4 linked regions of the Mytilus edulis genome follow. The protein of the gene in region 2 purifies or fractionates together with the protein of the main gene of each other region. This does not show direct contact. Links are inferred from orthologs where the notes say so. Each region holds a gene or a part of one and is shown on either strand. Other genes may lie near its edges. The genes, in order: E3 ubiquitin-protein ligase arih1-like, cullin-2-like, COP9 signalosome complex subunit 8-like and glomulin-like.

Evidence for each region.
Region 1: the proteins of cullin-2-like (region 2) and E3 ubiquitin-protein ligase arih1-like purify together in Homo sapiens (affinity purification with western blotting; 3 studies listed by BioGRID and IntAct, with this or other methods). This does not show direct contact. The link is inferred for Mytilus edulis from reciprocal best matches to the Homo sapiens genes CUL2 and ARIH1.
Region 3: the proteins of cullin-2-like (region 2) and COP9 signalosome complex subunit 8-like purify together in Homo sapiens (affinity purification with mass spectrometry; 4 studies listed by BioGRID and IntAct, counting the BioPlex papers as one, with this or other methods). This does not show direct contact. The link is inferred for Mytilus edulis from reciprocal best matches to the Homo sapiens genes CUL2 and COPS8.
Region 4: the proteins of cullin-2-like (region 2) and glomulin-like purify together in Homo sapiens (co-immunoprecipitation; 4 studies listed by BioGRID and IntAct, counting the BioPlex papers as one, with this or other methods). This does not show direct contact. The link is inferred for Mytilus edulis from reciprocal best matches to the Homo sapiens genes CUL2 and GLMN.

What each region holds. Positions count from the first base shown.
Region 1 is NC_092347.1:4,650,051-4,658,503, forward strand, and holds the start of E3 ubiquitin-protein ligase arih1-like, read right to left. Parts: upstream 3,348-8,453; 5' UTR 3,049-3,347; coding exon 2,836-3,048; intron 1,398-2,835; coding exon 1,330-1,397; intron 869-1,329; coding exon 778-868; intron 256-777; coding exon 178-255; intron 1-177. UniProt on the Homo sapiens protein: E3 ubiquitin-protein ligase, which catalyzes ubiquitination of target proteins together with ubiquitin-conjugating enzyme E2 UBE2L3.
Region 2 is NC_092345.1:87,330,165-87,337,554, forward strand, and holds the start of cullin-2-like, read right to left. Parts: upstream 3,080-7,390; 5' UTR 2,970-3,079; intron 1-2,969. Other genes in the region: sperm-associated antigen 1-like, read left to right, coding at 5,125-5,264, 7,203-7,277.
Region 3 is NC_092357.1:67,739,406-67,747,190, forward strand, and holds the start of COP9 signalosome complex subunit 8-like, read right to left. Parts: upstream 3,331-7,785; 5' UTR 3,290-3,330; coding exon 3,218-3,289; intron 1-3,217. Other genes in the region: MPN domain-containing protein-like, read left to right, coding at 3,905-3,908, 5,041-5,222, 5,778-5,924, 6,847-6,936, 7,673-7,785. UniProt on the Homo sapiens protein: Component of the COP9 signalosome complex (CSN), a complex involved in various cellular and developmental processes.
Region 4 is NC_092348.1:32,592,777-32,601,079, reverse strand, and holds the start of glomulin-like, read right to left. Parts: upstream 3,076-8,303; 5' UTR 2,975-3,075; intron 339-2,974; 5' UTR 315-338; coding exon 1-314.

The sequences.
Region 1 (8,453 bases), on a different chromosome or scaffold from region 2:
GGAGTAGAGTAGATATTGTAAATCATGTCTCCACCATGGAGTAGAGTAGATATTGTAAATCATGTCTCCACCATGGAGTAGAGTACATGTAGATATTTCATAAATCTTTGTTGACCCAAAATAATTAAGGACTCTGCCAGTCAGGATTTTATTAGTGTCTTTAAGTGCATCACCTACCTTCTGTGATTTAGTTATATAACAGATCTCACAAGTTGCTGGAACACTATCAGCTGATGTTGCCAATCTAGTCATTTTCTATAACATAGAAGAAAAGCATTAATTATTTTATTATTATCAGAAAAATCAATTTTAGTCATACATATGTAAAATCACCATGATCATTGCAATTATTAATTACAAAACAAAATTCACTACAATTTTAGCAAAATACAGATGAAATACCAACTATTGTGGGGTCAAAATCCATGGTTATGTCTCTAACCAGCATGACCAGTGTTCTTCCATATGATGCTATTTTTCTGGATTGTGATGCTATATTTTTTGAAACAAGATGGTATTTCAAATTTTCCTCTTTACCAGGATGCTATATGTATGAAGAATCTGGGAATAACACTGTCTAACACACTATTTTGTGGGGATTAATTTTCCTGTCTTAAAGTATGTGGATGTTATTATTTAAAGGTTAGAATTCTGTTAGGGTTTGAATTCCATGGGTGACATATATCTATCCTCAAAATAGAAGAAATAAAATCCTAAATAAAAACTTTTGCTTTTACAGTAGTTCCTTCATCATTAATACACAGTACATATATTTACCTTAGGTCTTGCTCCGGTTCCAGAATCTTTTCTCAATGGACTGACAACATGAGCCTCAGAAAACAGTCTGTCTTGATCACCATCATAGTACCTATAACGTTATTAAACACTAAAGAAAAACACTTTTATTTCCCAACCAACATACAAAATTTAGCATAAGAAGTGAAACAAATGTATTTTCTTAGTTTGGGTCGCACTCAACTCCAATCTTAATTGACTAGGATTGTCAGTTTTCAAAGGTCTGTGGTTTTCTCCTGGCACTCTGGTTTGCTCCACCAATAAAAACTGGCCACCACTAAATATTTATAGTATTTTCAGTGCTTAAAAGTTGTGTTAAATAGTTATCAACGGTACCAGGATTATTATTTAGTATGCCAGACGCACGTTTCGTCTACATAAAACAAGTACAAAGTTGAAGAGCATTGAAGATCCAAATCAGAAATTTTAGTTTTGTTAAAATTTTTAAGCTTTTATATACTTTAAAATGTTACTTGAAGCTAAACTTCCTTTCTCATACATTTATCTGCCAAACAATTGAAAACTTTACATTACCTTTCCATAAGCTTTTCTTTATCCCATCGAAAATGGTTCAGTAAAATTCTTATCACTGTTGGAGGAATCTGAAACAATTTTTTTTATCTTATAGTACATGTATGAACTCTTAAGATAATAATATAAAATATCTTATAATAATTTTCTTTACCTTAAGTCATGAGCATTGTACCTGTATCAGTCTCTCTTTATTTATAGCTGATTAGAATTTGGGGCTATCATATTTCAGCAGGATTGGCAAAGTGTTACATGAATTAATACCCAGGTGGGAAAACCCAGCTGGGATTCCCGGTATTGGGACCGTTCGCCCTAATAACATGTTCGCTCTGATTTCTATTGCCCATAGAGTCTGTTCGCCCTACTAAAAAAATATTAATATTCTGGGCATTGAAGTTGAATAAACTTATTCAGATATTTCTATGGTATATATTCTTGAAATTTATGGAAACAGGGAAATATTTATTATATGGCTTGTTTAGAATCATTTATTGTTCAATGACAAAATAATTCGGATCACTGATTATTGTGATACTTGTCTTTTGATGGAATATTAATAAAAATCAAACGTTTTGTTTTGATAAAATATTCAGCTTGAAATTAATAAGAACAATGATGTACGAACTGGAAAGTTCATTCATTATTATACTCTGAGAATAGTCATCAATAAAGAGAAATACATTGTATTCCAGTATTCTACTCTGTAAATCAAAGGGAAAATGATAAATTGATTGCGGCAATATAAATATTCTATCAATTTTTCAACATATTTTAACATATTTTGTTCAAATAACTAAAATTATGCGACTGGACAACAATTAGAAAAAAATAAAAATCAGGGCGAATGGACCCTGGGCGAACAGGTACTAGGGCAAATGTGAATTAGGGCGAAAACCCGGATTCGGGATTCCCAGGCTGGGCAATATTCCCCGACATGGGTAATAGCAACCAAAGACAACAGCTGAATTCATATTACAGCTTTCTATTTCAAGTACATTCATGAAGTTTGTGGCAGGTTAAACTGTCAGTGATAGGAAGGAATCAAATGTCTACATGTATTTATTCTGACATACATGTACAAATGTTTTAATATTGAATAATGACCATGGTTATCTGAAACAAAACATGCAAAAACAACAAATGGAAGTTTTTAACAACCTTGACTGGCTATAAAGCCCTTTCACGGTCAGAACATACAACAGTATGAGTATTAATCTTTAAAATACTTCATTGTTATGTCATTGTATCTACATGTAGTCAATCATAACCCTCAGACATATCAGTTTTGGATGATTCTAATGAATATTGCAACTTGTAATTTAAGTTAACTTTACAAAAAAGGCAATTGTTCATGAATATGACTTTATGAAATTATTAATCTAAAAAGTAAACAACACTTGACACATAGTTACTCATTCCACTAATTCGAGGAACTATCCTCATTTGGTAGATTGTGCATAACCTGTTATTGTTAAGAGCATATACATTTTACATAACTTTCAAACACACCTGAACCACAACATTAACTTCTTTAATGCAATCAACCATAAACTTTACTATCTTATCAGCAGTCAAGACCTCAAATGGAAATTCTTCTTGTTCAGATTTGTCCTGTGTGGAGGAGGGTTCAGCCATTTCCACGAAGTCTTCATTATCACTGGAATCGATTTCAACTTCACCTTCAGAGTCCTCATCATATATCATATCATCTTCACTGTCCATTTTCTTTCTTTGTTTGAAATATTTATAGATCCCTCTTATGAGTTGTTGCACAAAACAGGTCGTATTTACATCTGTGACGTCATCTTCGGTCTGCGACCAACAGACGGTCACCAGTATTTGGAATTACTAGGGGAAACGATTGAATCTTTACTTAAAATATAAACAATGACATTCCCTTTTTGTCGAGCATGACATAAATTGAATTTGGTTGAAAAGAAAGCTTTGGTAAATCTGAATTTACGAAGATGATATCACCTTCGCCGAGCTCCTCATTCTCGAGGATTCTGGGAAAGTTTTTTGTTGTTTCTAAAACTACCTCAATGCACAAAAGAGCGGAGCAAAGAGAAGATAACTCACTCAAAATCACCGTTTTGGTGCCTTTTGAGTCCTTTTGAAGTTTTTTTTTATTAACATGTAGAACTTCGTAAAATCACTTGTTCTTGTAAATTATTTACAAATTATTTGAGTTTGTTTATTTTAAAATTAAAGAGATTATGATTTCATATGTCTCTGGTAAAAGGACTATTGAATTCATGATTTATATTAGGTTATATTAATAGACTATATAGTGATGACTAAATGTCAAGCTATCCTGCAATTCTCATCCTGCAATTCTGTTTATAAAAAGCTATCCTGCAATTGCGTTTGGAAAACTACATGAGCGGCAATTTTATTTTTCTTTAAACATGTTAAAATCATAGCTAATTAAACCGATTGACAACAGAAAACTAAGAAATGCCATGTTGAAAGATTAGGAAAAAAATCTCAAAACTAACTCAGAAGGAAAACTACGCACATATGTTACTTTTAAATCAAATTTTGTTTGTGAAAAATATCTTAATATTGTTAACAAATTTGAAGATAGACGGAGTCTAACAAGATTTCGCATATCTGCTCACCATTTACTTTATATAGAGAGAGGTAGATATAGTAATACTCCCCGACACAATAGAATATGTAAGAGATGTTGTAGTAATGAGGTCGAAGATGAAACACATTTTCTTTTCAACTGTGATAGTTTATCAGACCAAAGGAAAGACATGATAACAATGATAAATAATAGCTGTAAGAATTTTAAAAATCTTGACCCTAACCAAAAACTGATATGGTTAATGAATAATGAAGATGATAATTTATTATCAGAACTATGCATGCTCATTAAGAAATATGAAAAGTTTTAATGGGATTTATCTCCCGCTACTACTTGTAATTTGAACTTTATATTTTCTGTATAGTGAGTTCTAGAGCACCGTCCCTTGATGAATATTGCCCAGTAGCAATGTCAACCCTTGCTGCTGTGCATTAGTCATGAGGAGAATCACTATTGGAGTAATCTCATGTATCTGTAGCTAGTTCTGAAGGATCTCCCCTTGATGACCTTTGCATTGTTGTGATGTAAAAGTCCCTCACTGCTGTGCACTGGTCATGAGGAGAACTACTGCAGAATGAGATACTATATTCCCGGTTCTAATTTTACTTTTTTTACTTTTTTGTTTTCGTATTAATAAACTTTATATCATATTCTTATAATATCAAATCGGCCTCATTACACTCAATGCCTCTTACCATAATTATATCCTACATTGCTCATATTATCAATTTATTATTTGTGTATTACTTATTGTGTATTTCACTAATGTTTATATAATCATTGTATTATGATGTTTTTGTATCTTGACCGACAAGGGCCCATGATTGGTATAATAAAATAATGTCTAATGTCTAATGTCATAGTTTTTGACTTTTTATTCGAAAACAAGATTTATAGTTTATAGAAAATCAAAGATTATGTCTGACTCAGGTGCACCTCAAATAAAGTTGATAATAAAAACATTTTTTATTTTCGTGTGCATCATCTCAAGATAAGAGAAATTGTTTAAATTCCACCATTAACTCACTATGCCCACACTTTACGCATCTGATTCCTCAGCCAAAAACGGATATGGCTTCTTAATGTAGAGAATCTTGATATCTGTCTGAGGGTTAGTCATGTTAGTTGACGAAGACAAAATATAACTTGAAAGATAAATATTTAAATCAGGCTTTCTGCACTAGACACGAGGTTGGCATGGTGGGGTACAGTACCCACCGTATAAGTTCTATTACCCTTCTGTTTGTGATATTTTTGATTAAACTGGTAATATTTTATCTTTTTCGTAATATGTGCACTTTGGCATGTCAATTGTCCCTTGGTGCCTCTTGCAGTTGTGTCACTTTAACATGTTCAAATAGTACTGACTCCTCTGCACCAGGCACGAGGATGACATACCAGTTATTTGCAACTTCTTACAATATCTTTAATACCATATCATTAATGTCCCGATACACATTTTAACATGCACCCACCATGCCATATGAGCACCGTCCCTTGGTGCATCCTACAATTCAGCTAGATATATTTAGCCAACTCACAGAATTCTTTTTTGTTACTTTCTAGAGGTATGTCTGAGACGAAGGTTTTATATATACTACTAAAATATATACGAATATATGAAAACTGTCGTTTCAGATTATTTGTGTTTGTAACTAACTATATGTATACTGTATTAATTATTATATTTGTAAAAATAATATAATGATATTATATTATGCTCCTTGTGAGCCCATTTGATAGAAATAAAGCATCTCCTTCTTCTATCTCATTATTAAAATTCTAAAAGTTAAGTTTGCAGATTTCTAACTCATATTTACGGTTTTGTAATTACTAGTAGCATTTACAATTAAAAAAATCATTATGACGATTCACAAACAAGCTTACCCCAGAAATTCTTTACCCACTGAGTATTATCTAATAGCTATTCATTGGGGGCAGCGTCTATAAACCCTAGCCATAAAGAACTACGGAGACAATTGGTCGGAAAGTGGGTGCCCCCATTTTGTATTTTATCGCATTTAGCTTTATTTCCATGTTTCGGACAAAATTTCCAGCCTTTAAGAATGCTTATCCCAGAAATTATTTGCCCTCTCGTTGTAGTATTATCCAATAGTTATTCATTGGGACAGCGTCTATAATCACTAGCCACAAAAAAAAAAAACCGCCGAGGCAATGTGTTTGAATAAGTGGGTGACCACAATGCGTATTTTATCGAATATGGCTTTATTTCTATGTTTCCGGGACGAAATTTCGGCCTTTAGGAATACTTACCGCAGAAATTATTTGACCTCTCGTTGAAGTACACCCAAAAGCTATTTATTAGAGCAGAATCTATAATCCCTAGCCATACAGAACTGTCGATGCAATGGGTTTGAACAAGTGGGTGACCCCAATGCGTATTTTATCAAATTTGATTTTTTTCCGAGTTACGCACGAACATTTCGGCCTTCAATGATGATTACCCCGGACGAAATCTTCGGTATTTAAGAATGCTTACCCCAGAAATTATTTACCTTCACGCTGTAGTTCTATCCAATAGCTGTGTATAGGGCAGCATTCATAATCCCTATCTCTATCCAGTAGCTATACGTCAGGGCAGCATTCATAATCCCTATCTTTATCCAATAGCTATACGTCAGGGCAGCATTCATAATCCCTATCTCTATCCAATAGCTATACGTCAGAGCAGCATTCATAATCCCTATCTCTATCCAATAGCTATACGTCAGAGCAGCATTCATAATCCCTATCTCTATCCAATAGCTATACGTCAGGGCAGCATTCATAATCCCTATCTCTATCAAATAGCTATACGTCAGGGCAGCATTCATAATCCCTATCTCTATTTAATAGCTATACGTTAGTGCAGCATTCATAATACCTTTCCACAACTGCAGAAACATTAGGTCGGAAAATGAGTGACCCCAATGAATATTTTATCAATATAGGTATTTTGAACTATGGCTGTGAAATTTGAATTAAAGAAACAACATCCATAAACACGCAACACACTCATCCAGCATGGATGTCCGGCAATCACTCTATGCAAATATGAATAAATTTCTATCTTGACAAGAACCTGATATATTTGCCGACGGACGTAGAGCAAACACCAAGCAATAAATGAACAGGAAATTATTGAAGTTTATCATGATTTTGACAGTCTTTTGAATTGTGTAAGGGTTGGATACGTCTTTATTTCTGTCTTCTGTAATTTTTATGCCATTTTCTTTACTTTCTTTTTCTTATTTGTATCTATTCTTCATGTTTTAGCATCCGATTACTCTCTATTCTGTAAATTTTTGGTCCCTGGTAACATTTTTGATGTAACAATTGGCTTCGATTCGACAAACATTATTTAAGAAGGAAATATAGATATCTTTTGCGCTTTCCAGTACACCGACGAATTTTTACAATAGATAGTATACAAATCCTTGGTATATCTGATGCTATTTAAACAAGTCTGAGTTTCAAAAGGCTACAAATCGACAAAACATTTGCCGTTCCCTTTGATTTGAAGAATCATTAGTATACACAACTGAATGCAAGTTATCATGACAAGTTATATTATTTGCAGTCCAATAAAAAAAACGTCACATGACTGATTTGCATGCGGACATTCCGTGCTTTTGGTATAACGGGTACGAGTTTAGTTCAAGCTATATTTAATGAGAATTTGTTTACTTTAAGTATCTGCAAATATGTATTGTATAAGGAATCGGATTAACTTATTACAAAAAGGCTAGGATAAATATAAAACAAGAAGATGCATGTGGTATATGATTGCCAATGAGACAACTCTCCACAAGAGACCAAATGACACAGAAATGATAAAATCGGTATATTACGGTTGCAGAAGCTGACTTGTCTGTGGATTATACACTGTCAAGTGATAGCGGATAATTAACAGACCATCCTTCGGTTATTCTATCATGGTCAAAACATTATAAGAGAACGATGAGCTTCTTGTGACAAAATATAAAGATTGATATTGTAACGTTCCGGGGTTTTCTTGTCAGGATGTACACCCGTAATTACTTTTGTGGGCCTCTGGTGAAGGAAGTAATAATAAAGATCATAATGGAAGTTCATTAATTGTATTATTTCTATTTAAACAATATATCAAATACAGCGGTTCAAGAAACAAAATACGTTAATAATTAAATACAATAAGTAATACGGCAAGGTGCATTACTTGCACTAAGATTAATAAAACAATTGCTCGGTGCAAGAAAATCTACTTGGTGCACGGCATTCAAATACTCAGCTAACTCGGTGCAGCAAATCTACTTGGTGCACTGCATTCAACTTGAATACTCAGCGTACTCGGTGCATGTAAATCTACTTGGTGCACTGCATCTAAAAACTCTCACCAAGCAACTTTACTTGGTGCTGCAAATCTACTTGGTGCACTGCATTACTTGGTGCAGGAATCTATACTTGGTGCACTGCATTTAAATACTTTCACCAAGCAACTTTACTTGGTGCATTGCATTTAAGAGAGACTGCTAACTGCATGGAGGTTGTTGGA
Region 2 (7,390 bases):
TTCTATTAACTTAAACTAAAGTTATAGTGCGAAAACCAAGAAAATGCTTATTTGAGCCCTTTTTGGCCCCTAATTCCTAAAATGTTGGGACCAAAACTCCCAAAATCAATACCAACCTTCCTTTTGTGGTCATAAACCTTGTGTTAAAATTTCATAGATTTCCATTCACTTTTACTAAAGTTAGAGTGCGAAAACTAAAAGTATTCGGACGACGACGACGCCAACGTGATAGCAATATACGACGAAAAAATTTTCAAATTTTGCGGTCGTATAAAAACTTAACAGACTTCATCAAGAATGTTCAATACTATTTTTGAAAGTACTGTTTATTGTTCGTGTTGTTATTTCAACACTATAACTTTAGGCAATGCATACTCAACAAGTGAAACTGCGTGCTACTGCTCACGGATGATACCCCCGCCGCAAGTGGATAATATTAATAGTGTAAAAATATGCAAGTGTTCGGTAAACAGGAAGTTGTTGAGTGATGAATCTGAAAACGCATCACACGGTATAGCTGACTTATATTGACCCTTAAACCAAATTTCAGAAATCCTGGTAGTGTAGTTCCTGAGAAAAATGTGACGAAAAATTTTCAACTTGGCTATCAGGTGTAAAAATGATACAAGTGTTCGGTAAACAGGAAGTTGCCGAGTGATGAATCTGAAAATGCATCACACGGTATAGCTGACTTATATCAAGCCTGAAACCAAATTTCAGAAATCCTGGTAGTGTAGTTCCTGAGAAAAATGTGACAAAAAATATTCATGGGACGGACGGACTGACGGAAGGACAGACAGAGGTAAAACAGTATACCCCCCCTTTTTTTCAAAGCGGGGGTATAATTTATATATTATACCCATTATACAACAAGACAAGAAGGTAAAATATGACAAACAGATATTATGGTCTACCAGTATAGGTTGAACAGGTACTAGAGCCAACAGGAACAAGAGTTACATGAAACAGGGTGTAGGGATCTCGATTCAATATTCTATAATTATATTCCCCACTTAGAGCAAAATATGTAAGGGTTCTGCAGAACCCAGTGCCTCACCTACTTTATGAAGCTAATAAGTAATATAGGAAATTTAACTGCAGATTGTATGTAATGTTAACAGGAAGAAAGACCATATATAAGTAACATACCGAAAAACAGGAAATATATTTTTACAAAATTTCCTTCTAGATACTAGCTTTTGATAATTAACAAGCTTCTGTCCAAGTTTGGCAGAAATCCAGGATAGTTTAAGAAACTGAAATTTAAAGTGATTAAAATTCCAAAAACTTTAATCATAGAGTGAATGTAATGTTAACTGGCAGAAAACTAAGTCCATTTATAAGTAAAATACGAATAAACAGAATTTTTTTTTTACAAAATTTAATCTGATTGAATGCAACCAATTACAACTGAGACCAATGAATAGCATTACCTTGTGGAATCAATAATTCTATCTTAATCTTAACCTTTGGATATGGAAGATGATAAATGGTGAAAAGCTTGACTTTGGTTTAAAAACCATGGTTCTAAAATACCTTCAACATGGGGGTGATAAATTTCCATTGGGACTTTTTGTTTTACAACACAGCATAAATTTACCAGTAATCCCCCTTAGAGTCCTTCCCCTCAGAGATTTGGGGGGAGGGGGGACAACCTAATCAAAAAAAATCTTCCAGATTCAGAAGGGTCTGTCTTCACACTGCCTCACAACCCATAACTTAACACACTATAACTTTAGGCAATCCCTGAAAAGGTATTATATAGTATATACAGTATAATGTGATCAACGTAAAGCAGTGTGCGGTTGTGTTCAGATGTGAAAAGAACCACATGTACCAGACTCGAAGTTCCCAAAAAAGAATTTGATTTCCATATTAAAAGTATAACTATATATTGATAAAAACACAATATTTACATACAATACACAGAATCTCAATTTATTCAATGATCTACCCTAGTTGATCTGGAGTCATTTGGGGAAAAATGTGTCATCAAATTTTTCTGGGGAAAAGCGCTATGGACACGTAAAAATATCCTCATCTCATGGCCAAAGCCCAATACATGTATGAATGCATTTTGACATTGCTGTTGTTGTTATTGGTTTTGGTAGGCGGCTTACTTATATAGTAATTGCGCCTTAAATTCATATAACATAAATATTATGTACATTGTATATACTTTCAGTCCTTAATTTTATTTTTAGTATTACGTTTTGGCGAGTAATTATATGAAACTTTGACGAACATGGTTGACTGAGTTACTAAGAAATATATATATATATGTTGAGAGACAAAAAAAACACACATAACAGAAGGTACATGTAATAGGAAAATGAAAGAAAAGCAAATGACAGTCCCTAATGAAATGTACATTATTAATTGATAGGTATCATAAAATTGTTTAGAAATTTTGACGTCACAACTTCTATTGAAAAAGCATGCATAATATGAATTCTTAAGATGTACAAAAACATATGATCTGACCATGCATTAGAACTATCTTGAACTATCTATCTTCCTTTTTTTTTAGGCAGTGTCTGCACGTACCCGCATGCGGAACTTCAACAAATAGTCAAAGTGCCTTTGTAGGCTACGTGTACCTGCATCTGGTTTTAAAATCAAATGGCATCGGATCAGGAATACAACCTGAAATATAAACCACACTGCCTTTTTTTTTTTACCAGTTTAGGATTAGTATCCTCAAAGTTACAGAGTAAAAACCTCTTGTGACAAACATGACCTTTATTTAAATAATTTGGGAACTGGGATGGGGTCCATATGTTCACCAAAATGAGCAATACAATCAGTTTGTTGATTCTTATTTGTGGAGATCATTATTGACATAATTTAGCTGGCAGAATAAAAATTCCGCTAAATTAATCAGGATACTATGAAAATATTAGAACAAATTATATTTACAAATACTGTTGGACGATAAGAATTTTAGGTTTAAGATAACTATATAACACACTGTTCAACCTGTGATTTGTTTTACGAGTCGGATAGCAGTTATTGGTGAAGTTTTGTCAACTTTTTATTTCACTGATTGCGATGAACAGGAGGTCGCCATTTTCTGTCACGTGGGAAAACTATTTGCATATATTTGTTAAAAAAATAAAGAAAAGAATTTTTTAAACTTAGTGTATACACTCATTTCAAACAATAAATTATAGACCCGGAATACATTAACACTCAAAAATTATATATAAGTTGCTTTATACAAAATCAAATTGTCTTTGCACAAATATCAGTTAAATTGAACTCTAAATATTCATAGGTTCGTTTTGTTTTGAAAGATCTGATTCCGAAAGATATATTGAAAGGCTTCCTTAGCAGCTTTAGAACTTGCTGGATACAGTTCTCAACCCTTAGTGCCCTTTTAGAATTTACTTTCAGGTAAAAACATGTAGACTCCTTAACAAAAAAATGCCAACAATATCTGGTAGAGTCTAACATATAAAGCTTAAAAATGAAATATAAGTTTCCTTTAGACTATAAAGAATGATTTTTTTTTGCTATTTCACTTTCAGTATAATTTTGACTGTGTTAATGACAATGATTTCTAGACGTTTCTGTCATACAAACAGTTGGTCCACAGGTAATTCGGGCCACAATATCACTTCGGCCTGAGTTGTTTGGGCCACAATTCCAGTTCGGCTAGTGTCGTTTCAGCCTCAGTTGTTTCGGTCACACTTGGATTTTGTTAACATATATTCTATAGACGTATTTACACTTGTATGCAAATTTGTCCGCCATTACATAAAATCACACAGGTTCCCGTAAACTTTGACATCATAATTCAATACATTTGACGTCACAGCTAAAAATTGATTGTTGCTTGACGTCAAAAGGTTATTAGGAGGTGATATAAGGTCATTCGGAGGCAAAATACAGCTTAAGACCAAAAGTGTAAATACGTTTATTCTGTTCTATATGAGGGTTTGGATGGTGTTAAATGATTAAAGAATAATGCCCTTAAAAAATGAAGATTAGAGAATAATCAGCAAAAAAAATGAAGATAAGAGAAAAAAGGGGTTAATTTTTTGAAGATTAGAGAAAAAAGGGGTTAATTTTTTGAAGATAGAGAAAAAAGGGGTGAAAATTAAATGTTTACAGAATAACAGACCCCCCATCCAGACCCTCCTATATATGTTTGCGTTAATGCACCTTATCACTATTTATCTGCCATTACTAGACATCACAAAAGTTACCGTAAAATTTTGACCTTATAATAGAAAATATCTGATGCGACAATGGAAAAGTGATTGTTGTACATGTACATGTATGATGTCAAAAGTTCAAGCAGAACAGATTTTCAAACAGCATCTGCTATAAGGTGCATTGTTTTGACAGAAGTTTTTTTTTAAGCCATTTCAAAGTTTAGTTTTTGAGGTTAAGTCTCCACTCATATACTTCAGCAATTGGTCAATTATATTTGGTTTATGGATATATATAGCCGGAGTAATTGAAAGGTACATGTCAATACAAATGTAGCTGTCTGGCAGGTTTCATCTTATATGTACCATGACCTTATTTTCATGCTTTTGTGTACACCATTATTATTTGGCAGTGTCTGCCCAGCTCTACATGAGGGGACGAGTAGTCAAATTGGCATTCGTAGGCTACAAGTCCCTGCATCCAAAATTTAAATGCCATCTGATTGGGAAAAGAAATGTGAAATATACATGGAAATTAAATGTATCATAATTAGTGAATAAATTAATCAGAAGTCCTATAAATAATTATATATATATAGTAAGTGAACAGTTTTTCTCAGTTAATAAATATTCTTGATATATACAAATGTATTAATATATATATGTGAGGAAGACATTTAAAACTTATAAAAAAATTGGAACAATTTGTTCAAAACTGCCAGTCAAATAACAGCATACATTGTATGATATAAAATATTTGGTTGTTTGTATAAAAGAAACTCTGAATCAATTAAAAAGATGACATGTAAACCAAAAACTTTAAGAAGAATTAAAGTTTAGTAGGCAAAAAATTCAAAACAAATTCGACAGGAAAAGGGTATCGACATGAAATATCACCAAGCATTAATATTTGAAGGTATTGACAGTGAAATATCACCAAGAATTTATATATTTAGGTTTTGTCAGCATGTCAACAGTGAGTGATAATGTGTTGTTCCAGTCAGAGACCACAAGGAAGTATGACATACCTCTCACTCATCTAGATTATCCATACATAGAGAAATGTACAGACACCAAAGAACTTGAGAGAATACTTAGAATCCTTAGGTAATTCTTTAACTTATTTAGATTTTACTTTTTCAAAAAAATATAAAAGATCATTAAAGGGATCATTTACTATATGATTGTGACTCCTCACAAAATTTTGAAGGTACAAGAAACTGTTATGTATAAGCTAAAATATCCACATACAAAAACAAATTATTTTTTTTAGTCACAAACCAAAAATTGAATTACTATTTAGAAAATAACTATTGTATTTTAAGCTTGGCCTTCGAAAAAAACATAGATTTTACTGTCTCACATTGAGTTTACTTAGCAACACATAATGGAGCTAGGTAAAAGGATATTTGCAACAGTAAAATACTTGATATTTTTATTAAAATTTCATGTTTTAATTAGGCAGATTAAAATAATTGAAGAATTTGAAAAGAAATTAGTACAACCTCCTCTTTTACCAAAAATTACCCCACCGTGACAGCAAATAAAATTGAGAATGGACATGGGGAGTATGTCAAAGAGACAACAACCCCACCATAGAAAAAAACAACAGCAGAAGGTCACCTTTAGGTCTTCAATATAGCGAGAAATTCCCGCACCCGGGGGCGTCCTTCAGCTGGCCCCTAAACAAATATATACTAGTTCAGTGATAATGAACGCCATACTAATTTCCAAATTGTACACAAGAAACTAAAATTAAAATAATACACGACTAACAAAGGCCAGAGGCTCCTATCTTGGGACAGGCGCAAAAATGCGGCGGGGTTAAACATGTTTATGAGATCTCAACCCTCCCCCTATACCTCTAGCCAATGTAGAAAAGTAAACGCATAACAATACGTACATTTAAAATTCAGTTCAAGAGAAGTCAGAGTCTGATGTCAGAAGATGTAACCAAAGAAAATAAACAAAATGACAATAATACATAAATAACAACAGACTACTAGCAGTTAACTGACATGCCAGCTCCAGTCTTCAATTAAACCGATTGAAAGATTATGATTTCATCATATGAATATCAGGCACAATCCTTCCCGTTAGGGGTTTAGTATTATACTATCATAACATATATGAGAAGAACATAACCCGTGTCAGGCCAATAACTGGTTTTTGAATAAATGTGTTTAGTTCCGATGCAAAGACCCTATAAGTGAATCAATATTAACACCAAAATATGCAATCTTTAATGACCTGACAACAGTATCGTAACTATATCCCTTCTTAATAAGTCTATTTAAAGGTTTTATTAGTTTCTGAGGTGAATACTGACATTTTTGTGCTTTATAAAGAATATTTCCATAAAAAATTGGATGTGAAATACCTGAACTATAAGAAGTCTGCATGTTGAGCTATATTTACGAATGATGTCCTTATACCGATGATAAAATTTAGTAAATGTTTTGACTAGTTTTTAATATCGAAAACCCTGGTGTAATAATTTTTCAGTAATACATAAATCTCTCTCGTTAAAATCTATAACATTGTTACATATATGAGCGAATTGTACAAGTTGAGATATATAAACACCGTAAGATGGTGACAAGGGAACGTCACCATCTAAAAATGGATAATTAACGATAGGAAATGAAAAATCATCTCTTTTATCATAAATTTTAGTATTAAGCTTTCCGTTAGTGATATAGATATTAAGATCGAGGAAAGGGCAGTGGTCATTGTTAGTATTAGCTTTATTTAAAGTAAGTTCAACAGGATAAAATGTTAACATTGTATAATCAACATTTTCTTTCATTTCTTGCTTGAAGTACTATTTAATTTTTTAGCACAATTCACACTGGTACCCTTTCTGACAATTTGAAATTGATAATAAAGAATAGCAGATTATACATGACCAAATTCAGTATTCAGTATGCAAATAAGTAAACATTTGTATACCGGTTCAAGATTTTGATCAAACTACATTTTCCTGTTCCATATCTCTATATATGATAGATTCACCAAATTTTCTTTTTCATGTGTCTTCAACAGATCAGGTGATGAAGGATTTTATCCAGATTTAGAGACATTTTGTGAAGAAAGGATTGAGAAATTAAATCCCAAAAGGTATGTTTATATCATTATAAAATAACACTCATTTTAATTTTTTTATCTACTGTAATTTTGATATTGAAAATAGTAAGCTTCAGAATGATTATTGATATCACCTACATATTTTT
Region 3 (7,785 bases), on a different chromosome or scaffold from region 2:
AGTGGGAGTATTTTTCCTGTGAAGTTCAAGGTTTCATCTTTCAGATTATGTAATAAAATTCTACTGTTCGCCATAAAAATTTCACTGTTCGGGGGTGTTGAAATTAGTGGGGGTTAGTAAAAGAATGATACTTAAAGAAGTGATTTTTGGGAAGGAAATTGAGGTCTGATACTTAAACAAGTGATTTTTATGTCATTATCCTAGATTCAGTACAAGGTCATCACCTGAAATGACCTGGTCATCCTAGACAACACAGATGTTGGTTCTGATAAGTTTAGAAACATAATTAGTCCCTGGATCATTAGTATTCTATATTTAAAGCTACACTAATATTAAATCACTTCTTCTAGTGATTAATTTGTACTACTTAAATAGGTGATTATTAAAGAAAGACAACTCTAACTTCCAACCTTTATGGAAATAATGTTACTTGAATCAGTGATTTAGAAAATCACTTATTTAAGTAAGTCCCCTGACTGATGTTCGCCCTAGGTTCGTTCGCACAGAGTTTGTTCGCCCTGGTAATCCGTTCGCCCTGGGTTCGTTCGCCCTATTTTCATTTATGATATGTATTTATGTTACATTAATGAAAGAAATATATATTTATATATATTAAAATTTATGTATATGAGACAATATCTGAAAAAGTCTAATTTCCATGTCCCGCACTTCACCAGCAAGTATTTTTTTATTCAACCATCTTTTTTGAAAATTTTAAGTTTCAGTATAAAGTAAATTATATAATGCACCATGGCCTGCCAATTAAACACTCATTCTTATATTTCTTCCAATAAAATATTGTAATTTAAATGTTCAACCCCCCCTAAAATCATGTTGTCCCCTGTGTTTTTTTGAAAACTAAATCATTCAAATAATATCCAAATTAATTAAACAGGCGTCCGATTCTCACATATATATATGATATATTATATAATACAGTCTGCACCAAAAACTTTTTCAACTACTAGTCCGAAGACCAATATTCTGACATTTTTCTTATTGGGCCAAACAAAGTTTTGCAAAAACTTACTAGTCCGAATGAAATTTTACTAGTCTGGGGCATCGGACTAGTGGCTAACCGTGCAGACTGATAATAAACTTGCCCCTAATTTGTCTTTTTATATTATAACTATAGCATGTAATAAAATTTTGCAAATTTTAAGAGAAAAAAAATTTGTCCCCAGGGGTGATTTCCCTCCTGTTACCAGTTTTTTGAAACGTTTGCAAGACCAAGAGTTATTTTCCCATTATGTATTGTGAAGAGCATCATTTCCTGAATGCATTAGTACAAAGAAATAGTTGGAAAGGCGGCCAGGTTTGAAAATTCAAGCCCATCCAAGGTAAGAATTTATAGAAAAATACTTATTGGTGTTCTATCCTGTTACAGCCTTTTCTTACGCTTTCTGAGAATATTTTTAAGTGTGCACCACAGCATTAAGTGTGTTTTTATATCATCTTTTTAAAAGTTATATGTCACAGGAAATACACTTACATTTAATGTGATAAAAAGGACAAAAACTATCGCGTAATTCCTTTCTGTTACGTTCTGTCATGTTACCTGATAGAAAGTAACAGCATAACCATCATCAGTAACAGGAAGGATGTTCAAGACAATTTCACTGAAGAATCGAAAAGTTAATCTACTATATGCCAACCATTTTATTTAATATAAGTTATCACCACCATATTAAAGAAATTTCTAAATAATATACAGTATATTTAATAAAAAAAATAGGTTTTTTGCTTTTGATAACAGCAGAGAGCATTGTGCAATTCTACATGTTCTAGTTTAGTAGATAGTAACAGAAAGGAATTTATTTTAGAATTTTTCCTTACCTAGGCAGATTTTTCATCTTGCAAATACAGTTTCAAAGGATAAATGACATTGTTTGCTGTTATCTTCCAATTGTGACCAATTTAAAATGGTGTATTTTTCTTAAACTTTAAAATAAAGCAGAAAAATCCTTTCTGTTACCAACTCTGTCCTGTTACCGTTGTGCTGTTACTCAAGATTCTTTCATGTTACCGACATATCTGACTATATTTAAGTATATTTCTAAACCTTTTGTATTGCAAATGCTAAAATAAATAATTGGCATTTGATAAACTATTGCAGGATATACTAGTAAACCACAAATATTGTCTTAAACTTATTCCTTATTCCCATTAGAAACTTTTTAAAATTGATTCACTTGGTAACAGGAAAGAACTGCATTTGTTTTGTACCATTTTTAAAATAGCCATTGTTTCCTTATTAAACAATTGTTTGAATTACAGACAACAGTTCCTAGATCCCCAATGTGTGTTCTTCGATTTGTGCTATTAAAATATTGGGTCTAAAAAAAAATGTTTTTTTCTTATTTCCAAAAATTAGACTCTTTCAGATATTGTCTCATATCTATTAACAGTTAAATACAGAATATTAATTAAATAAAATTCTTGGCTGCATTGTTACACTTTATTTTATAATTACTTTTAATTACTGCATGTTGATTGAATTTTTATTGCTGATTAGATATGATTTGAAATCTTTGATATCACTGATTGGTATATGAATTGCCTTTGATGGATTAATAATGAAAATAACATTTTTCTAAAATAAAATAGTCAGCTTGGATGGGTAAAAACACTGATGTACAAATTGTTAGGCATGAACTTATAACCTAGTAGCAGCTAGCTGTAGACAACATAATACATCGTAAATATTCGGCGAAATTGTAGACCGACTTCAACATATTTAATTAAATACACACAACACAACACTATACTAAAAAATAAAAATCGTAAATATTCGGCGAAATTGTAGACTGACTTCAACATATTCAATTAAATACACACAACACAACACTATACAAAAAAATAAAACCCAGGGCGAACAGGTATCAGGGCGAACAGTCTCAGGGCGAAACGGAACTAGGGCGAAGAGTAACTAGGGCGAACCGAAATCAGGGCGGACGGACCCGGATTCCTGTCAATATGGGGTTAACTATCCATACCCGTACGAAAAATCCCCTTATAACTTTAGGTACCAGTTGGATAAGAAAATATGTCAGTATTAAGAGGTTCAAAGTCAAAGATGTTCAAAGATGATCCATCAAAGATGACAGGTGTCACTGTGATGCCGATTTGACCAAGTTCCGATTTGAATTTTTCTATCTGACGGAAGAAAACTTAAGGGACATATATATTTCAATAAAGAAGTATGAAGAAAGTTTACGTCAAGTTCTTGATTTTGCAAATCTATCTGCATTGTTTGAAAATTTTCATGAGCCGCAATTTCGGCAGCCATATTGTGCGAATTTTGTAGTCAGCAAAATTCTGTTCAGATTGTTGATTTTAAGAACTAGCAAAAAATAGTCAAAGATTTAAATTAAGTTTAAACAACAGCGCACTACCACAAACTGAAAATTTAATTAAAGTTTAATAGTGAAGGCTTGGACACTCTAAAAAGATGTATGATGCTATGGTTTGTCTTGAATTATCTTTAAGGTTTGTTCAGAAAACTGTTTCGTGAGCACGAACTAATTTTGTTTTTGAACATTTGGGTGCGTTGTTATTTAAAGTTATATGGTAGGACTTTTTTGTATATTATAAAATCCCGAATGAGAACAATCTGTCAAAACTTACGTTTTAGACACGCAGAGAATTAAAAAAAACGAATATTTAGATATTTTTTTGAAAAGAAAGAACATATAAATCATGTGATTAGTGAAACATGTAACAAATTTGTAGATTTTGAATACTCTACCTATTTGTTTCATTTTTTAGCTAAATTATTCATCCAATTAAAATTCAAGAAAACATGTTGAACCGCACCTGAAAGGTCACAGGAAGCACATGTAAACAAAGAGGGAAAACTTGTTTGTAAACAATGTTCAAACTATATATTGATGTTTGAATAAAAATGGGTATTATTTTCAAACATTCTTACTGAAATTGATGTAATGACAAATATCGACCAATCATTTTCATGCAATTATTTAAACCAAAGCAGTGGACAGTCAAAGAATTTCAGAGTTTGAACCCAAATTTATTCAAAACAACATTTAAAAATGATTAAAATGTATATATTATATATAGGCCATGGACATATGTGAAACTACTAAATAATTGCTCAATAATGCAGCACAATTTTCCTAGATTTGAATCATGACATGAAATGAATCTTCAAAAACAAAAATGGTCATTTAGTGTGCAAGCTATTTATTGGTCATGGCTATTATGCTGGTGACAGCAAAATAGCAACTGCCAATGTAATACAATAAGGAGATGCCAATAAGACAACGATCCAAGAGATGTAGAATGTGGTATGCTTGCCAATAAGATAAGGATACAAGAACATGAAGAAATACAAAATGATGTGGATTAAAGCACCTTTAGGTTACTTTCAACAATGAACAAAACCAATTCCCTAAAATCGGGTAACAAGGCTTAGACCAGATTAGGAATTGTCTACAATGTATCTGTTTTCGATATTATACCCAAAAATTTGATATAACTTCACAGTGCAAATTATTTTTTTTTATAAATTGCAAATGACTACATAAACATGATAAAAGGCAACAATTTTCCAACTTTCTGAATACCTTGGGTTGAAGTCATAAAATTTTGCTCAGTACTTGCAGCAGAAAAATCATGCGCGAAACATGAAATCCAACATTTCGATTGGTTGATTTTGGAGTATGAGCATGATAAGTACAAAAAACTGACTCGACCTAACTCCTCACATGGGACAGTACTAGTGATGAAACAAAACTACATAAAAACCAAACTTTTAACCAAAGCTCGACTAGCTGAGTCCACCCTCCTGGTGCAGGATTTTCTTGCTGTGATGAAGACCCATTTGTGGCCTTTGGCTGTTTTCTGCTCTTGGGTCGGTTGTTGTCTCTATTACACATTATAAAATTGAGAATGAAGATGGGGAATGTGTCAAAGAGACAACAACCGACCCAAGAGCAGAAAACAGCCAAAGGCCACAAATGGATCTTCAATGTAGCGAGAATCTAATTATGCATTAATGACAAATTAATTTACTTTTAGATAACAAGATGGCGGACGAAATGGAGGAAGAATTTGACGATGAAAATGACTGTGATGAAGAAAGTAGCATATCAGAGAACTTTGTAAAAACAGCCATTACTGGTCGTGGTGTAACGTTACAGATGCTTATTATCGATGGCATTATAGAACCAGGCAATGGACTTCTGACACTTAAATATTTAGTAAGAGAAATTGACATGAAATTATTTAGGGGCAAATCAGAAATATGAATACAAATATTTATTGACAAACAATACCAGGATAAAAAAAATCAATAGACAAACAACAGCGAATAGAACAGCACACATAAAGCTGTGGGAGCATTTTTTAGTCCAGTCATGTTTTTTATCAAATAATATGATCAAAAAGTGTGCAGAACCCACAGAATATATCCTATGCAAAATTTCATGGTGGTGTTGCTTGCTTCATGATCAGGTTTATTGTTAAACAATAGAAGTGAAAGATACATGTTAAACAGGAAATTCAAACTCATAAGTTATTAGACCGAAAAATTTCTTTACTATAAAGACACATATAACAACATTTTTAAAGTATTTATTATGCAGTTAAAGATTGCTTTATTAGTTTTAATTTTAAAACATAGTTATTTCAAATTTTAAAGGGAGATAATTCAGTTGAGCTTGCATTGCCTAATACATGTTATATAATGTGTTTATGTGAAGGGAATATGTTTTGATGATGTTGATTTACACAAAAATTTCTAATGTTATTTTTAGGGAAGGAAGTTTATCGCTGACCTACTGCCCAATGGTAAAATAATGACGCCAGCCACCAAAGAGATGTTTGGCACACCAAGTGCCTGGGCAGCACATTGTAAACGCCAGGTTAACCCCCTGAAAAAATCTGGTTGTGGATGGAATTCTGTAAGTTTTTTGTACTGTAAATTTAGAAATTTTTGCAATGTTTTTTTTATTGCAAAAAATGCAACAACAATTTAAACCCCCATTTTGAAATTTTGTATAAGATTTTAACAAGATTTTTTTCAAAATCACAAAAATTGAAATAGCATTTAAGACTAAACGACAAAATTTCAATAATAAATGCACACAATAATGTCCAAGTTTCCTGTAAACTTTTCAATAATAAGGGAAAGATAACTTGAATATTGATGATTGAAAAATAAAAAAAAGATGTAAGAATTTTTGCACGTACAGATCTAAAGTCTTTACCTGTATTTTCCTATTGACTTGTCAGAGGTAGATACATTTCGATTGACACTTTCAATGAAATCTTTGAAAAAAAACTTCATTATTGCCAAGTACCGGTATATCTTTCTGAAGTGCTACTTATTTTGATAAGTTGATTAGAGCAACCTTTCGTCTTTCTCAAGAGATATGAAGTAAAGGTGATTGCACTAGAATTATTGCAATTCCCGTTTTAAAATTTTGAATGTGTGCATCATTACACTAAAACTAGAAGATCCTGAAAGGTCTTTGAAATAGGAAGTGGAAAGTAGCATTGTCAGATCCTTGTTAACAAGCATTGGACTCAAGATCTGTATTTCAAACTGTGATGTTCTTTACTTTTTGTTTGCAAAGAATCATTACTCATGTTCAAGGAAGACCAACAAAAAGACCTGTACAATATCAGAACAATAAAAGAACTTAGTATTTTAATGAAATAAAAAAAACTCACTCACGGCCATTACCTTGAACTTGTTGAATACTAGAAAGACACTAACAAAATTTGAAAGTTTTCATGTAATGTTTAAAGGTAATGAATATCCTTTGTTACATAACTTAGTAATTGTGTGTAGTACGTTTGATCTTATAATAAATATTATAGGTGATGTACAAAGGTAAAAAGTTGGACATGTGGAAGACATCTTGGTTCAGGAAACATAGACCAGGTAGTCCTGCTAGGAGGGAGTCTGTCGTAAGTTATAATTGGTTGTCAACTTAATATGCAAATATATGTAATATGTAATTATATATTGTTAATGGTATGGGTCTTCAATTTAATTAATGATTTGCAACGCTAGTGATTATTTCTGTGGGTTTATTTTTGCTTTAAAAAAATTACATTATGATTTTATACTTGCACATTTGACTTGCACACAAGAATATGGCAGGGTAAAACATGTTAGCTTTTGCTCACCCCTCCCTTGTACCTGGGACAGTGGTGTTATTTATTCATTCCTAACAACCAAAATATCACAAAGTACAGATACAAGAGTACTTGCAGTTATTGACAGCTTGTTCAAAGCCTATAACAAGTTAACAACTAAAAGAATATTATGTACCTAAGACTAAAATATCAATCAGTACACATCAAAAATCGAATGGATTTAGTATAAAGACGTCATTATTAAAAGTCAGAGAAAACTTGATCTTTTGCAATGCCACAATAGACAGATTGTAGTATGTTGATTGTGTGTGGAATTCCCATTTAAAATATATGATTGTCCATAAAAGAGAAATTGAATTGGATTTTTTTTATTGATGGAATAATACTGCCAAATGACATGTACACATTTGTTGTTCTATTTAATTTCTTATATGAAAACTTATGTAAATTCATACAGGGAGAAGTGCCAGTTCAGTGGTTTTCTATAGTATTTTAATACTGATTGTTAATTTAAGTCTTAATTACAAAATATTATTTTTTATAGTCGCCAAGAGTTTTTATGATGGAACAAAATGGTGAAAGGCCTGGAAGTGCAGCCAGTATACAAAGTAACCATAGTGACCGTCCAAAAGTATTTGATTTCAGCAATCTTGCTAG
Region 4 (8,303 bases), on a different chromosome or scaffold from region 2:
TCATCTTTAAAGGAGTCCATTTGTTCAAGAAGTGCAATGATAAGCTCTTTTGGGTTTCCACGTTTTACTATGTAATTCATGCATCTCTCACATGCCTCGAAAAATATTGGCACATTTTTAGAATTTTCGTCTGTGAGACTTTTGGCCAATTCTCCAACTAATTCATAAAATATTGAATCATCAGAAAGTTTTCTCTCCAAAATAAACATCTTCAAGCTTTTGGCATCCTTGTACTTGAGACTGTCCTTGATGTTCTCTAGAACTGACCCTGCCTCTAAATCTTCACCATACATGTCAAAATCTGTTGTAGCCATGGTTACAATGTGTTACACAAATTCCTGAAAAACAAAAAGAGAAGTTTTGCTGGTATTCTTTAAATTAATAGTTTTCTTTTTTAACAGATATTATAAATAAAAATTTCTTTCACAAAACAAAACTATGTACGAATTCATGTAAACATGATGAAGAAATATTAACTTTTAAAAACTAGCCTTTATCATGTTTATGTACATGTATACAATCAATACATTTCATCACACGGCTTTAAATTAAATGTTATCCGATCCCCATATCTTTAATTTAACCAATCAATGTTTAATTAATATACACCGACACCAGCATAACATTCTCTTTTTGTTTGAACATTTTAGATCATGTATATTACATGTACAATAGGCAAATGTGGCCTGGAAAAATATGAACATTGACAATTTTGTTTAAGGCCAAATAAAATAGTACATGTATGTGTGGTTCCAGTAACATCTATAGAAAAGTTGGGGTAGGTTGGTAGGGATTTTTATTTTTATTTTATGTTTTTTTTAAACAATGTGTCTATATACATACTAGAGAAGCAACAATCTGACTTTAACAGTGCTAAATGAAAAATGACAAAAAAATCTTTATGGTAGACTATTGCTAAGACTAAAAATTAGGATAGATAGGGTAACTGAAACCACATATATTTGTATATACATACAAATACATGAAATACAAGTTTAATTGTAAGTAGATATATTATGTCATATAAAATGAAGGGTACCATGTATGATTTCCTGAAGATTACAAGAACAAATCAATATCCCAAGGACAAATTGATTTGTCCCGAAAAAAATATTTTACATGGTGTTATACTGTTTAAACTTGTATAATTATAAGGTTTAAGATGTTTTAGTCGTAAATACTCAACAAAAGTACAAGTTATCTTCAAGAATCGATTGGTACATGTATGTCTTGTATGCAAATTACTGGTTGAAAACAATATGGCGGACATAATTACTCATATTAAAGGAATATCATTCGACTGTAAAGTGATTATAACTGTATGTTTATGTTTTAAAGAATTTATTCTTGCAGTACTTTTAATTCTTTTAATTTTTAAAGTACTGCAAGAATAATTACATCCACCATATTGTTTTCATGTGCACATTTAATATCTTAAAATTATAAACTTTAATATTTTTTAAGTAATATCACACCATGTTTTTGGGACAAATGAATTTGTCCTTGGGATATTAGTTTTTTCGTTAAATCCTCCAGAAATCATGGTACCGTAAAATGACCAATACAAGTGTGATTTTTTTGTGTGATTTTTTATGTTTTATAATGGTTGTGAAATTGGAAATGTCATCATGCTATTGGAACCATTTTTTTTTATTACCCTGTTAGCATTCTGTAACCTTACATGATTTATAAAATTAATGCAATTATGATAAATTTGAAATGACAGATTACGAGTTCTATACACTGGAATCACTTATATAACTTAGTTTGAACAGAGACATATAATAGACCACTTTCGAGTTCATCCGTCACCGGCAAAAACTCGTCAATTATGCATGCCTTTATGACGTCATTTACCAGATAGAGGGGGTTGCCTGTATCCCTGCACTATTTACGTTCATCAAGCGTCTTAGTGATCGTCTTTGTGCAGGATAAACTAGAAATAATGGTTGCTCTGTAGGTACTTACTGACAATTCCCTAATGACAGCAGTGTTGATTGTCAATTTTGAGAATTCAATTTGCCGAATAATTCGTATAATATAGAATTATAGTTTTCCAACCACTCGCTCAACATTGGAAGGGAAGTGACGACGCCCCAAAACGCACAAATGACGGTGATAAAAGCGCGTATAATTGACGAGTTTTTTCCGGTGACGGATGAACTCGAAAGTGGTCTATTGTATTATATGTCTCTGGTTTGAATGACATTTTAATGATAAAGATGTATATTATCAGAAATTATAAAGAAAAAAGTAGGTCTTCTACACATGTCTGCTTTGTCATTTTGTAGCCTTGCATAATTATTTGGACTATGTCAACATACATGTATGTTCCTGTCTTCACTGAATCCACAATATCCGCAAATTCATGTCAATAATTTCTGTTTATATTTTTTTAATTTTCATTCCCGATGTGATAACATTTCAAAATAAATCTGGGTGCGGGTAACCGTATGAGTATGAAGGCAAATTTAACTATTTGTCGCCGCAATTGGTCAGACACTGCATACACTTTATCGTTATTTGTCCGCCATTACTGGATATCACACAGGGTCCCATAAAATTTTGACATCATAAAACAAAATATCTGACGCCACAATGGAAAAGTGATTGTTGTATGACGTCAAGTTTAAGCGGCAGGGTCAGCCGGGAATAGGGTTAAGGTGTATTGGCTTTGGAAAAAGCAAATTCTCAAATAACCACTTAACATGCTTATTGATACACATAATAGTTCAAATGTAATTTATGTTAAAAACTTTATCCATGAGTAGCTAATAACAAATTCGAATGAAGATAAAATTATACACTAAAAATATATTTTGATATGAACTGAAAAATCATGCCGGTTTTCTTGCGTAATAAATAATCTGAGTAATCATGGTGAATTATACGTCTGAAAAAGTACCGGCTGAAGATCTAGAGTGGCTAAAAAAATGGAGTGTCCATTTAAACCTTAAAATACATATACACTTACAGATTCTCTTAAAAAAGATACCAGATAAAGTTTTGCTGCATTTTGCACATGCCATTATATTTTTTTTTTTATTTATCAGGAGTGCTCTCCCTTTAGATATAAAACCCGATGGACTCGGAAAAGTTTTGTGATTTTTCCGTGTCCAATAATTTAGGGATGTAGTGTAATTGCCCCGTAGTTCAAGGGGGTTTCCCCAACCTGTCACAAGGGTACTGGTACATCACCGAGGGATCCGAAGGGACACATGACATGACGTAACAGTTGGGTACTTCCAGCCTGTTCCTCGAGTACAGCTCTCTCACCACGGAACGAGCAAGGCAATGCGCCTGATATCTGGGGCTAGACGAGGTTAGCTGGGACTGACACCTTGTAGGAAGGTAAGGGCACTCTTACACTAAGCATAGCTTGTATCAACCCCTCGGGTAACCATAGAGCTCAGCGAGACAGGCCAAATAACACTTTACTGGTAGTTGCGGGTGGTTTAAATTTTGGTCCTGTAGGGGATTGGACGCCATTTTGGCATCACTCCAAAATTTTGAGTGCCTTCAGTCAAATCTATATAAAAATAAGTTTTTTGTCTAAGGGAGGCAAACCAGGTCCGGTGGTATACTTTCTAGGTGAAAGTCAGTGGAAATACATCGTATTTGTATAGTTTTTGGGCTGAGGAAAAACTTTTTGAAAAGTTTGCTTTAGTGATAGCGAGGTCACGTGAGCGGCGAGATTTGGTCGCCATCTTGGATTCTGTTTGCAGATGTAAACAAACGGATGTAAACAAACACAAGAGCAGTTTGCTTTTATAGTGTTCCGTGTATATTTAATTTTTGACTTGAGTTTTTATTGAATAAAAAATTATTGTTGATCCGTGTATATATATAATTTTGTGAATTATATTGAATAAAGTGAAATAAATTTTTATAACTTTGTCAAGTACAAAGTCACTATGCAGGGGTACATGATCAATATAAACACCTGTCCTAAGGTAATACTTACCTGCATACCTGGCATAGGGGAGGCCATAGCAGGAAGGATCATGGATATTAGGGCAAAAGGTATCCACATTGATAGAGATATTTTATTCCAAATTCCACACTTGAGAGTGACAGAAGTTATTCTGGGCATAATTGATTTTTCACAGAGACCACGAGCTGAGCTCAGGGAAGCTGTCCGTGAAAGAGCATGTTCTGTGAGTATGTTGCCTCCAAAGCCTGATCATGTGATTGTTGATATGGAACCACAGGAGTATCCTCGTTCAAGTTATAAGGATACAGGTACTCAAGATGAGGTAGAATCATCTTGCTCAGAGGATGGAGCCTGCTCCAGTCTTGAATGGGACAAACATCGCCTGGAACAAATACAAAGGCGTTCTGAACATTTAACTATGTTAGAGCAGTTACATTGTGAATCACCACAGGAGAGCCTTTCTTCAGAGAGTTTGGACTCAGACCTGAGTGTTGGTAGCAATGAGTATCGCACTCCACCACCAAGGATCAACATGGTTGTACACCCTCAACCAGACAGTCAACAGGACGGTGATGTCCCATATGACAGAATGTTCATACCGCTTAGCCAGAACTGGCATATTCAAAACCCTATAGTAGATCAACAGGAAGATTGCAACCATCAACAAGAGGTGCAACAGACTCCTCCAAGATACAAAAGCCCAGATTATGACCAACAACCAAGGTTCTTACATTCACCTACACCTAATCATGTTCACTTTTTACCAAGTGTACAACATGAGCACCACTATGTCGACCAATATCAACATGGCTTCAATAGTCTTCACCGACTGGAAGTCAACAAGAGTCAACAAAGAGTGCAAATGCAACAGAAAGTACAATGCCTACAACAACGGCTAGACCAGCTTCAACAAGGGGTCATTAACTATGCACAGCCTGTGCAACAACAACATTTAGCTGCAGCGCCGGCTTCTACACCTCTACAGCAGCTACAACAACAGGTTAGTGAAGTTGTTCATCAACAACCAAATTATCCAGAACCAAGGTTTCAACCACCAAGTTCTGTACCAGAAGTTCAACAACATAAGATGATTGGTCACCCAACTTCTATGTATCAACCTCCTAGAGATGAACCACCGCCACAAGCACCAACAAATTTAACGCCTTACAACCATCAATACATACCTGGTTTAACGTACCCAAGTTTGGGTCAGTCACAACCATTACACGTGCCTCAGTTACCTATGCCTGGCACACAGCAGCAACCTCCACCATCAGGAGCACCTCAGCTGCATTACAACCAACCTTCAGCAAGACAGAAGGAATATAATAGTGATTACTATGGGAGACAAGAAAGAAGTGATCCTAGACATAAATATATAGGTGATTCTGACATGTCAAATGTTTCAGCATACCGCCAGTCCAGAACAAAGCGAAGGTCAGAACCTGAGTACAACAGACCTCATAAGAATCAACAGCGTGATTTCTCACCTTTAAGAAGTGTAAGGAGTTTTCCATTACACCGTAGTCGTTCAAGTCCTAGAAGGTCTAGAATGTCTAGTGACTCCCGATCAGAATCTGACACAGATGGTCAAAGTTCTGAAAGCAGTCAGGAAAGTAGACAAAAGGAGAAAATAGAGAAAAGACAATTTCTGTCCTGGATCCTGAAAACGCTCCGCTATAATGGGAAGGGCAACTGGAAAACCTTTTATACCAAGTTTTCTAGTTATGCTAAAATGGCCGAGTGGACAGATAAACAAAAAAGGGAACAGCTCTGCTGGTGCCTAGATGATGCAGCCAGTGAGTATTACACCTTAATCCTAGAAAATAACAAAACAGCAAGTTTTTCTGATATTGTATCCAATATGAACAAGAGATTTGGTCATCAAGAACTGCCAGAAACCTCACAGGTTCAGTTCCAGACAAGTGCCCAAGGAGAAAAGGAGACCTTGGAGGAGTGGTCGGAAAGAGTGTTGACTCTCGCCACTAGAGCTTATAGCAGGTACAGTGAACAACTAATGACTGAACAGGCAATCATGAGGTTTTGTCAGGGTTGTAATGATACAGTTGCTGGAACAGAAGCTTGTATCTCTAAACCAAAGTCCATGGATGCAGCCTTGGATATGATTAGATGGTGTCAGCACACTAGGAAGGCTGTCAGTGCCATTCAGAAAACTAGCAAGGAGGAGTCTCTTTCAGAGAAGTCAGTTAACTCACCAGTAGTTCTTGGTGTAGGTAGCATCAAGTCCAGTATGGATAATCGTCTCTCTCGCATAGAAGAACATATACAGAAAATGATGTCAACAGTAACCAGTTTGGTTCAGGAACAATCAGCCAAACATGGAACCAGTCCTAGTTCTAGGTCACCTAATCTAGACAACAGGTATTCTGATTATTCGCCTACTCGTAATTATGGTCGAGGGCGAGAGAATAACTCTGGCGACAGGAGATATACCAGACAAGGTTATTATAATAATGAATGCTTTAATTGTCACCAGCAAGGTCATTATATCAAAGACTGTCCAGAGCTTTATGTACAAGAAAGAGGGAGACAGTCAGTACAGAAAGAGCCAACATCTCAACAAGTATCTTTTGATGAGAATAACAAAGACGATTTTCATGAATCTGAAGGAGTAGTATCAGGAATCAGTACAGTGAGATCACTAGGATCAGCCAAACTCTTTAGAGTTGAAGTATATATTGCAAGAAAGAAAGTACTGGCTCTAGTTGATTCAGGTTCTGAAGTAACTATTCTTAAGGACACAATTTTTGACACTTTGGAGCCTAAGCCCTATGTTATCAGGGAGACTACCATGCATGGTGCTGGTACCAACATGACAATGCCATGCAGGCTTTCTAGTCCTATAAAGTTTAAGATTGGAGGTATACAGTTCAATCAACAACTGTATGTAGCTCCAGTTTCATGTGATATGATACTGGGATGTGACTTTATCATGCATAATAGAGTTATCATGAATATAAGAGAACTAACATTAACTGTACAGAATAGGAACATGCCACTAATACTAGGAGATGAAAATATAACTCATGAACCTAATGTCAACGTTGTTCATGGAAAGAACACTTCAGATTCATCGTCAGATGAGAAACCCAGAACAGAAGGGTCAACACAAAGGTTCCCAGCCAGCAATGCTGAATTTCATCTTGAAACAGTCGTTCCTCAAGTAGAGTCTAACCTAGCCATGAGGGCCTCAACATCTACACAGGGATCTGAGCCTGATCAATGTAGAGACAGTAGGGTTGACAAGGTAGAATCAAGAGAGAGCCTTGAGTTTTATACTTCTCCCAAAAGTAGAAAAAGGGAGAGGACTTGTGTTCAAAGTCGAACAGACCGTAAATGTCCTGTAAAGAACTGCCCAGTAGTGGTAGATAGAAGAGACGTAAAACGTCATTGTTTTGAAGAACATCTTTCTGAAATCTTTCAGACCTATCATTCCAAAAGACTGATGGGGGATAGACGATTTCACCAACATAGAGCTTATGTGGTTATGCTCCTAGCAAAATGGTTAACCAGGCAGGAACCAGTGACTGCCAAAGACTTGGTGAATTTCCTCAATGAGAAGTCTTTTGTGCCCCGTTCTACACATGTTACAGGGATACAAATGCAAGTCCATCGTACAGTTTGTAAAGAGATGGGATGGACAGACTATTTCAGATATAGCTTGCGACCGATAAACAGCCCTGCCTGTTTACTCAACTGGAGAGTCCTTACTTCAGTTCTAAACTTTTTAAGCCCTGAACAACAAGATATGGTAGCCGAAGGATTTAGCTACAATCCTAGAAATCCTCCTGAACCTGAGGAACTTGCTGAGATGAATGCCAGTTTCTGGCCAGTGTTTGTTAACAAAGCTCAAGATGAGTCAGCAATCCCTCAAAAAGAAGGGGAGGAAGACAATGTTCAGTCTGAACAAGAAGGACGTACCATAGTAATGGACGAAATAGAAGAAATTCACTATGAGAGTGAAAGTTTGAACACTGAAACATCTAGCAAAAAGAGAAAATTGCAGTCCAATATTGCTGACAATGAAACAAATGCACACCATACTCCAAAGAATGAAACCGCACTTCTCCTAGGACGCCAAGTTTCACAACTAGCTGAATCCAAGGTAGAGCATTCTTCTTCACATCTCAAGTTGAGTCAGAGCCCTCAAGTTCCAACACTTGTGGTTATACAGTATGAAGGTTTGCAGTGTATGGCAAGAGTAAGTTCTATGACGGAACTGTACAAGGTAGTAAAAGACCGATTCCCTGAAAGTGGGAATGTTTCACTGATCTGTGAGGGAACAGTCTTAGAAGATAGTGTATGTTTTGACCTGTTAGGTCACCGTCCTCACATTGAAGTGAGGCGC